Callithrix jacchus: one gene and its partner. The protein of the gene in region 1 interacts with the protein of each later gene in a biochemical or structural test. Links are inferred from orthologs where the notes say so. Each region holds a gene or a part of one and is shown on either strand. Other genes may lie near its edges. The genes, in order: AREG and S100A4.

Region 1 (4,339 bases):
CATCATAGACATTTAACTTAGCCTTTCAAAGGTGTTCAACCAACATTTTCACTCTATTTCACAATGCATTGCAATTTTGAACATTAGTCACTTGTACTACTAATCATTTACTTGGCCTTCTGAAGTGTTAACAACTTGAAACATGTTTAAGAGAACAGTTTCTAGAGACCTTGATGGTCTAATCTTATGCCTTCAAAAATAAGCATTAATGAACCCCTTCCCACCTCACAGAAAGACACACTTTCAGAAGGAAGAGAGAGAAGTGGAGTGTTTCCTAAATGTTTACTCACCTCCCACTTACCCCAGTCACTATCCCTGTGATACCACTTGATGTCCCTTCACTAGTTCTGAGAGCCTCCAAGTTGGGAAAGAAAAGACCTTCAAGACCTCTGAAACCATCTTTCCCTGCCTCTGTAGTGGATGCGCCTAGGATATTTACATCTTATTTATTGTTAACCTATGCTTCCTTCAAATTCCAAAGTATGTACTATTTATCTCTTATTTCTTTACTTTCACTTCAAGCAAAGGACCTTTTTAAAATATGAAATAACAGGAAAGTGAATGAAACCATAGGTCATGAATATCTAACCAACAAATGGTATTTGGGGTTGGTTAAATGGTGATTTTAGCAATACAAAATCTATGAATATTCACCCTTCTTTAATATTTCCAGATGGTATTATTATCATTATTCCATCAGTTTCTCATCACCTACTACTTAAATGCTAAAGTCTAATGCCTCCTGTCCCATTACTTCCTCTGTTCCCTTATTTGTGTTAAAATGCAGTTTATCTAGGGAAGGAGGGTGTTGGGGAAAGGGATTCAAAAACTATGATACAAAGTAGACAATGTCTAAATTTGTCTCTCAGGATGGGGGTCAAGTAGCACAGTGGGAAAGAGCTTAGTGTCTCTTCTGCATAGAATCAAACAAACTGGAGCTCTAATTCTAGCTCACCTGCTTGTTACCTGTGGAAACTAGAACAAAAGAACCTTTTTGAGCTTCAGTTATCACATCGGTAAAATGAGGATAACAATTCCTAAAGTCATTGTGAAGATTAGGTTTAAAAATGGGACATAAACCATCTATGATCACTCTGGTCCTATAGGATGTGCCCACATTGTGGTTCTTTTTGTCTCAGTGTACCTAGGGAGTATGCAACAGATGCATGTAAAATAAAGCTAGTAGAAAATTTGGGGAGGAGCTTTTCTTCTGAAGCAACTTTGCTCATTAAACCTACATCTCATAGGCTAAATTTTTGCTTTATCCTCTACTCACCTCTGACTGAATCATCTACAATATAGCCAGGTATTTGTGGTTCATTATCATACTCTTCTGAATAGTCATCGTCGGTTCCCGACGACAGTTCACTACTAGAAGACATTTCACTCTCAGGTGAAAGCTCACTTCTTGAAGACATCTCACTTCTGGAGGTAACCTCAAATCCATCAGCACTTTGGTCCCCAGGAAATGGTTCACTCTTCCTAGAGTAGGTGTCATTGAGGTCCAATCCAGCAGCATAATGGCCTGCAGGGGAGGGAAGAAGGGAAGAAAAGAAAAGGTAGAGTGCCTTTCTCTCCAGTCAGCTGTGTTAGGTAGAAATGTTTATCTTTTGACATCAAAGCAGTGATTGCACATGTGCTATTGTTTGTGATTGAGTCACTTCTGTGAAAGAAACTTCACATTTTTGCCAGCAAGCAAATTCAGCTGTCCCAATTACAGAGCTGCTTTTATGATATTTTTCTTCTCCACAGATATTAATTTCCACATCAAAAAATCCTGCCAAATTGGCAAATTAATCTAATACAATTACTTAATAGGTAATGTCTAAATAGTCTCATCACTTCACATTCCAAATGCATTTTGTTTGCTAGAATGCCATCCTGGCCTGTTTCAATAGGTTCTAGATGTAAATATCAGATTTTCTTAATATGTGTTCATATTTTTAAAAGATCATGTACATAAAACGTAAACATATATAAACAGTAATTATATCTATTATTGCCATTTTTCATTATTGTTACTACATAGAGAATAAATTGAATACTAAGTAAGATTTTGAGCCCAGAGTTAAGCCACTGCTTTATCTTGCATTTTCTTTTAGAGCTCAATAAAACAGCATCAGAGTGGAGCTTTTAACCTCCCGCCGGGACACTCCCTCTGAGAAAGTAAAGATGAAATCACTAGACGGAGGAGATGGAGAATTAAGTAGGAGGCAGCAAAGGCTGCTGCGCCCGAGATCTGCGGAAATCACTTCACCTCTCTAGACCTTGATCTTTTCAACTGTGAAACCAAGGGTTCGGTTCAAACGATGTCTCCGCCTCCTCAGCTGGACTAGAGGAAAAAGTACAGAGATTCTCTGGGACATCTTGTCCTGGACGTCTGAGACGTCTTCCCTTTTCTCTTCCTCCTAGGGAGGGAGCTATAGCGATCACCTCCCGCGGCGCAGATTTGGAAAAGTAAAAGCCAAACTCAAGAGGCAACAGCTTTTGCCTGCTGTGGGAGAAGAGCCCGCAGTTAAGAGCGGGGGACCCTCACCTGAGCCGAGGATCAAGAGCGACAGCACCACCGGCACCGGCGGCAGCAGCGGGGCTCTCATTGGTCCTTCGGAGCGGCGGCGTCTAAGTCTCTGGGGCAAATCGGTCTCTGGGACCGGAGTTGCGGCGGAAAGGAACGGGTGTGGGAAGAGCGAGTGAAGACCGGGACTGTGCGCCGCGCTCCAAGGCTGCGGGAGTTCGGGGCTACGCACGCGGCGCCTCGGGCTCTCCCGGGGACTTCTGTGGCGCTGGCACCCCGGTGTGCGAACGTCCGTAGGGCGGTGCGCACCTGCCGCTTTATAATTCTCTTGCCTGTGACGTCAGGGCCGGGCCCTGGGTGGAAGCAGGCGGCGCCCCAGAAGGTGCTACCCGAAAACCACAGGAGGAGGACACGCGCCCCGCCTTCTCGTGCGTAAACAGTTCTCGGGGAGGGAGTGGTTCTTAAACCTCTAGCTGCGAGGAGCAAAAGAGCCCATCCGTATTTGAGGGCGGGCAGGATTGGAGTTCCTCAAAAAAAAAAAAAAAAAAAAAAAAGTCCCGACATTTCAAACTGACAAACCTCTTCGTGTACTTTGGTTGATTTCAACATCTACAACAGACAGGGATTAAATAGAATAGTTCCGTATTTAGCTGTAAAAGTACTTTAAGACCAAGAGTGAATTTGCAGTGATAGCCTGATGTTTCCAGCAAGGATAAAGGACGAGAGAGACCTCTTAATGAGGAACTGCTTCATGTAGGATGGGCCTCTATCTCAACCAAGGCCCCCTTTCCACCCATTTCTGTGAAGTGGCCAGAATTTCAAATTCCCTCGCTCCCCGTTTCTTTATGTGGCCCAGGGCCCTCATCAACATTAATATTTTTTGATGATTTATTATTGCCATACTATGCATTTAAAAGTTTACCTGCACCTATTGCTATATACTTTCCTCTAGAGACTGCTTTAAATGTGTCCCAGAGGTTCTGGCACGTTGTGTCATTGCAGCACTGTTTACAATAGCAAAGACCTGGAATCAACCCAAATGCCCATTGATAATAGACTGGATTGGAAAAATGTGGCACATATACACCATGGAATATTATGCAGCAATCAGAAATGATGAGTTTGTGTCGTTTGTAGGGACATGGATGAATCTGGAGAACATCATCCTCAGCAAACTGACACAAGAACAGAAAATGAAACACCGCATATTCTCACTCATAGGTGGGTGATGAAAAATGAGAACACATGGACACAGAAAGGGGAGTACTAAACACTGGGGTCTATTGGGGGGAAAAGGGGAGGGCCAGTGGGAGGGGGAGGTGGGGAGGGATAGCCTGGGGAGAAATGCCAAATGTGGGTGAAGGGGAGAAGAAAAGCAAAGCACACTGCCATGTGTGTACCTACGCAACTGTCTTGCATGCTCTGCTCATGTACCCCAAAACCTAAAATCCAATAAAAATTCAAAAAAAAAAAAAAAAGTTTACCTGCACCATCTCACAGCCAGCAGTGTTTAAAGCCAGGTGGATTTGAATCCTTTATCTAATTCTGAAATCTGCTGTTTTCCACTCTGTTCAAGGAAGGTAGGATTAAACTGATCTTTGAAAAGAGGGTTTCTGGGAAGAACAATACTTAGTCTAAAGGAACAATTTCTACTGGTGGCATACTGGCATTTGGGTGAAGGGTAGTGCTCAAGAGACTGTGCCTTTCAAATTCCAAGATGAAAATGTCAGCTAGTAGGATATTTAATCATGGCAAGCAGATAAAATGAAGAGGAGACAGGAAGCTGGTTAATTTGACTAACTTGGATGTACTGTCAACTAAAGA
Region 2 (4,260 bases), on another chromosome or scaffold:
AGCTTGAACTTGTCACCCTCTTTGCCTGAGTACTTGTGGAAGGTGGACACCATCACATCCAGGGCCTTCTCCAGGGGGCACGCCATGACAGCCGTCAGGATCTGGGGGCAGGAGGCACAGAGACCCTCTTATTTACCCCACCCCCCAGCGATGCACTCACATCCCTTGCTGGGAGCACTTGGTGAGACTCTGCTCCCTCCCTGGGGGGGCTCAGAGCAGCGGGCCCAGCACCTGGTGGGAGGGTGTGGGGAACACATGCTCCGGGCGGTGAACAGTGGATGTTTGCAGGACCCTCTGCACAGGCTCTGGAGATTCAGGCAGCAAGCTCCCAGGCCTCTCCTCAACAACAGCATTTTTTCCACCCCTCACTCAGTCAATCCACTCCCACAGCTCAGCCACAAAGGCCCCGCCCTGGCCATTCTTCTCCCTCCCAGCAATGGGCGAGGCTGCTGGAGGCCTGCCCAGGGCCCTGCAGCGGAAAAAACCAGCCGCTTAGCGCTCAGCCTAGGGAGGGGCAGAGTGAGGTGGCAGAGTCAAGGGTTGGAGGAGAAGGTGCAGAGGCCATGCTCTCGACCTGGGCTGCTGGGTGCAGGGCAGAGGCTCCTGGCGCACACCACCAGACAAACACCCACAGTTCCCTTCTGCCTTTGCTTTGCTTCCTGCACCCGAGCATGCAACCCAGCAAGCGTGAGCCAGTGCATATACCCACGGGCACATATACACCGACACACACTAGAGCAACAGCACATGCAAGCCGCATCTCAGAAGCACCTGGAGAGCTCAAAGCCAGCCACTTGCTCGCTTTTCTGTTTGTTTTTTCCTCCCTCTTACATGCACGTGTGTGTGTGCACATGCACACCCACGCACACACCCACACACACACACTCTATCCAGAGCTTCCACATCAGAATCTCACATCTGGATCTGTTTAGCACATCTCGCCCCCACCCACCTCCCCTTCTCCTGCCCCAGCCCTGGCCTCTGACACCCCTTGCATGCCAGTCAGGCCAACACAACTCACCAGGCCAAGGGAGAAGAAGTGGAGGAGAGAGGGTTGTAGAGAGCGGAAGAACGGGGACGGCCCAGCAGTCTGACCTATTTATACCCCCGCCAGGCCCTGCCCATAGCAGGGGATGGGGGAGAGCAGATACTGCCCTCCTACTGTGGGCTGACATGGTAAGGGCCACAGCACCGTCCACCAGCCCAGCCTTGGAACCAAGCTTCTTGTCCCCAGGTGGGCCCCTGTGGGCAAGGGGTAAGCCCCAATGGTTACCACCAGCAGAGACCTGGATGTGATACACACTACCCAGTGTACATAGCCTGAGTTTTAGAGAGGTGGAGGAAGGGCAGCCTGTGCCTAGAGCATTGGCGACAGGGAGAGAGTAGTCTCCCCTCTTTTTTTGAGATGGAGTTTCACTCTTGTTACCCAGGCTAGAGTACAATGGCCTGATCTCGGCTCCCTGCAACCTCCGCCTCCCAAGTTCAAGTGATTCTCCTGCCTCAGCCTCCCAAGTAGCTGGGATTACAGGCATGTCCCAGCACACCCAGCCAATTTTGTATTTTTAGTAGAGACCGCATTTCACCATGTTGGCCAGGCTGGTCTTGAACTCTGGACCTCAGGTGATCCACCCGCCTCGGCCTCTCAAAGTGCTGGGATTACAGGTGTGAACCATCGCGCCCAGCCAAAAAAGTTTTTTTAATTAGCTAGACAGCGTGGCTGGAGCCTGTAGTCCCAGCTAGTCAGGAAGCTAAAACAGGAGGATCATTTGAGCCCAGGAATTTGAGACTGCAGTGAACTATGCTCAAGCCACTGCTCTCCAGCCTGGGCAACACAGCGAGACCTTGTCTCTTAAAAAAAATGAAGATTAAGGCCCGGCGCGGTGGCTCATACCTGTAATCCCAGCACTTTAGGAGGCCGAGGCGGGTGGATCATGAGGTCAGGAGTTCAAGACCAGCCTGGCCAAGATGGTGAAATCCCATCTCTAGTAAAAATTACAAAAAATTAGCCGGGTGTGGTGGCAGACGCCTGTAATCCCAGCTACTCAGGAGGCTGAGGCAGGAGAATTGCTTGAATCTGGGAAGTGGGGGTTGCAGTGAGCCGAGATCATGCCACTGCACTCCAGGCTGGGTGGCAGAGGGAGACTCTGTCTCAAAAAGTAAATAAATAAAGATTAAAAAACAAAAATGGGGGAGGGGATCCCCAGGCCCAGTACTGTCTGCCATGCCAAGTAAGGCCCAGGGCCGGAGCTGGGGGGTCTGGAGGGGAAGAGGTTCATACACAAAAGAGGCTCTGGGACCACCTCATAAATGTCAATGGGAAAGGTTCTGGGTGAGGTAGTGATGGAATGGGTGGCAATGAGGCGTGGGGTCTCATGGATAGACCCCAGGTTCGGAGAAGCTATCGGGGGTGCCATTTAAAGTTGGGGTGAGTGTCGGGAATGAAGAATCCAGGTTGGGGTGGAGAGTGAGAGGCGAAATGGCACAAAATAGGGAAGTCAGGATTTGGGTCGACCTCTCAGGGTGGGCTGCAAGCTCAGTGAGGGTTAGAAGTAGGGGGTTAAGGCCCTCAGGGGGCTGTGGCTTCAGGGATGGGGACTGCCTCAAGATACCCCCTGCCCCCTCCACACCGGCACCCCGCCCTGGCTGGGAGTAAACACCTCAAACACTCTAATCCCATTAGTGCTGCTCTCTGGGCTCCCACAGCCCGCGGCAGGGAACTAACAGCCCCACCCCACCCTCACCCCACCCTCGTCATATCACCTGATCAAGAGCACTGAGTCCCAGGAGAAACTTAGGCGGCCCTCTCTCAAAGACCCCCAGAGAAAGAGAGAGGAAGGGAGGACGGGGGTCCCAGTGTTGGCCCCACGCCCTCCTGCTGGACTCTGGAGGCCACGGCATTTCTGCAGGGTCTGAAACGTCCCTGGGGGAGCCTCCTGCTCCTGCCCTCAGCTGCCCTCCTGCAGTGGAAAAGTCCAGAGAGGAGCAAAGAGCTCAGCAGACGCGTCCCCGGAGAAGAACCAAACAAAGCCAAGCTGATGCCAGCCTTTTATTAGGAGTTAAATAGGCCCCTTCCCATCGAGGTCTCACTGGGGTCTCAGAGCAGATCCCGCCTCCTCCCAACCACAGGGGAGGCAGTAGGGGTGCGGCGGGCAGGCTGGGGCCCAGAGTGGCTCTACCCCTCCCTCGCTGGGCATCCTGGGTAAAATGGGTTAACTGATCACGGAAGACCTTGGCAAGTCCAGATTGGAAGGGGTGCAGGAGAGAGGGTGGGGGAGTAGTAGCGGAGGCTACTGGGGGCAGGGGGGCTCTGGGGCGCAGTCCTTGAAGTACTCGTGGCAGTAGAGACAGAGACAGGCCAGTGAGCGCACGTACTCCACAAAGTCCACCTCGCAGTCCTTGTCGGTGTCCAGAACACTCATGAATTTGTTGTAGTCACACTCCCGAAACTCGGTCTGTGCAAGGGAGGGGTGGGGAAGGGTGGGGGAGCAGGATGAGGAGGGCAGAACAGCCTCGCACGCCACTGCCCTCCCTCCTCTCCCAAGCGGACCCACCCCACCCCAAACTACACCCTTCCGAGGGCCGACTTCAACCTACCTGTTCCAGTAATGCACCCATTGCGATCCCCTCCCAAATCCACCCTCTCAGATTGTCAATTGAGCACCTACTATCTGCTACTGAGTGCCTACTACGCATTAGGCATTCTTCATGGTGCTCTCGCTCAGTCCTCTCACAACCCTGCAAGGCAGCAGGTGTGATGATTGTCCTTCCATTTTACAGGTGAGGAAGCTGAGGCTTCTGCTACTCCCTCCTTCCAGTCCAGCCTCCTCCCCTTGTGGACCTGTGCTCCGGCTTGTCCCCACGACTCTCTTTGCAGAGTCCAGGCCTTACCTCCTGCCGGGTGAGGAGGGTACGGACACTCTGCGTACTCACCGGGGTCCAGGTGGGCAGCTCCTTCTGCAGCAGCTCCTTGAGCTCAGCCTGGCAGAGCTTGTGTTTGTCCCCACAGCGCCCGGCATACTCCTGGAAGGTGCACACGATGGCAGCTACCGCCTGCTCCAGAGGCCTGGCCATCCTCACTGTCACAGAACAAGGGCGTGACTCACAGCAGAGTTCCAGGCCAGCCCCCTGCTCACCTCTGCCTTCCATGTTTCTCAGAGACTGTTCCCAGACCCAGCTTAACCTCCACCAGGCTTCAGGCCCCATGGCTTCCCCTCCTCTGAGCAGCCCTCCTGGACCACACCAGCCCCTATTCATTTATCT

The links.
Region 2: the proteins of AREG (region 1) and S100A4 form a complex in vitro, tested with the Homo sapiens proteins (2 studies listed by IntAct, with this or other methods). The link is inferred for Callithrix jacchus from reciprocal best matches to the Homo sapiens genes AREG and S100A4.

Annotation. Positions count from the first base shown.
Region 1 is NC_133504.1:123,667,180-123,671,518, forward strand, and holds the start of AREG (amphiregulin), read right to left. Parts: upstream 2,809-4,339; 5' UTR 2,598-2,808; coding exon 2,537-2,597; intron 1,526-2,536; coding exon 1,277-1,525; intron 1-1,276.
Region 2 is NC_133519.1:13,957,570-13,961,829, forward strand, and holds the start of S100A4 (protein S100-A4), read right to left. Parts: upstream 2,912-4,260; 5' UTR 2,899-2,911; coding exon 2,761-2,898; intron 1,074-2,760; exon of another isoform or gene 232-1,073; intron 102-231; coding exon 1-101. Other genes in the region: S100A3 (protein S100-A3), read right to left, coding at 3,288-3,452, 3,931-4,076. UniProt on the Homo sapiens protein: Calcium-binding protein that plays a role in various cellular processes including motility, angiogenesis, cell differentiation, apoptosis, and autophagy.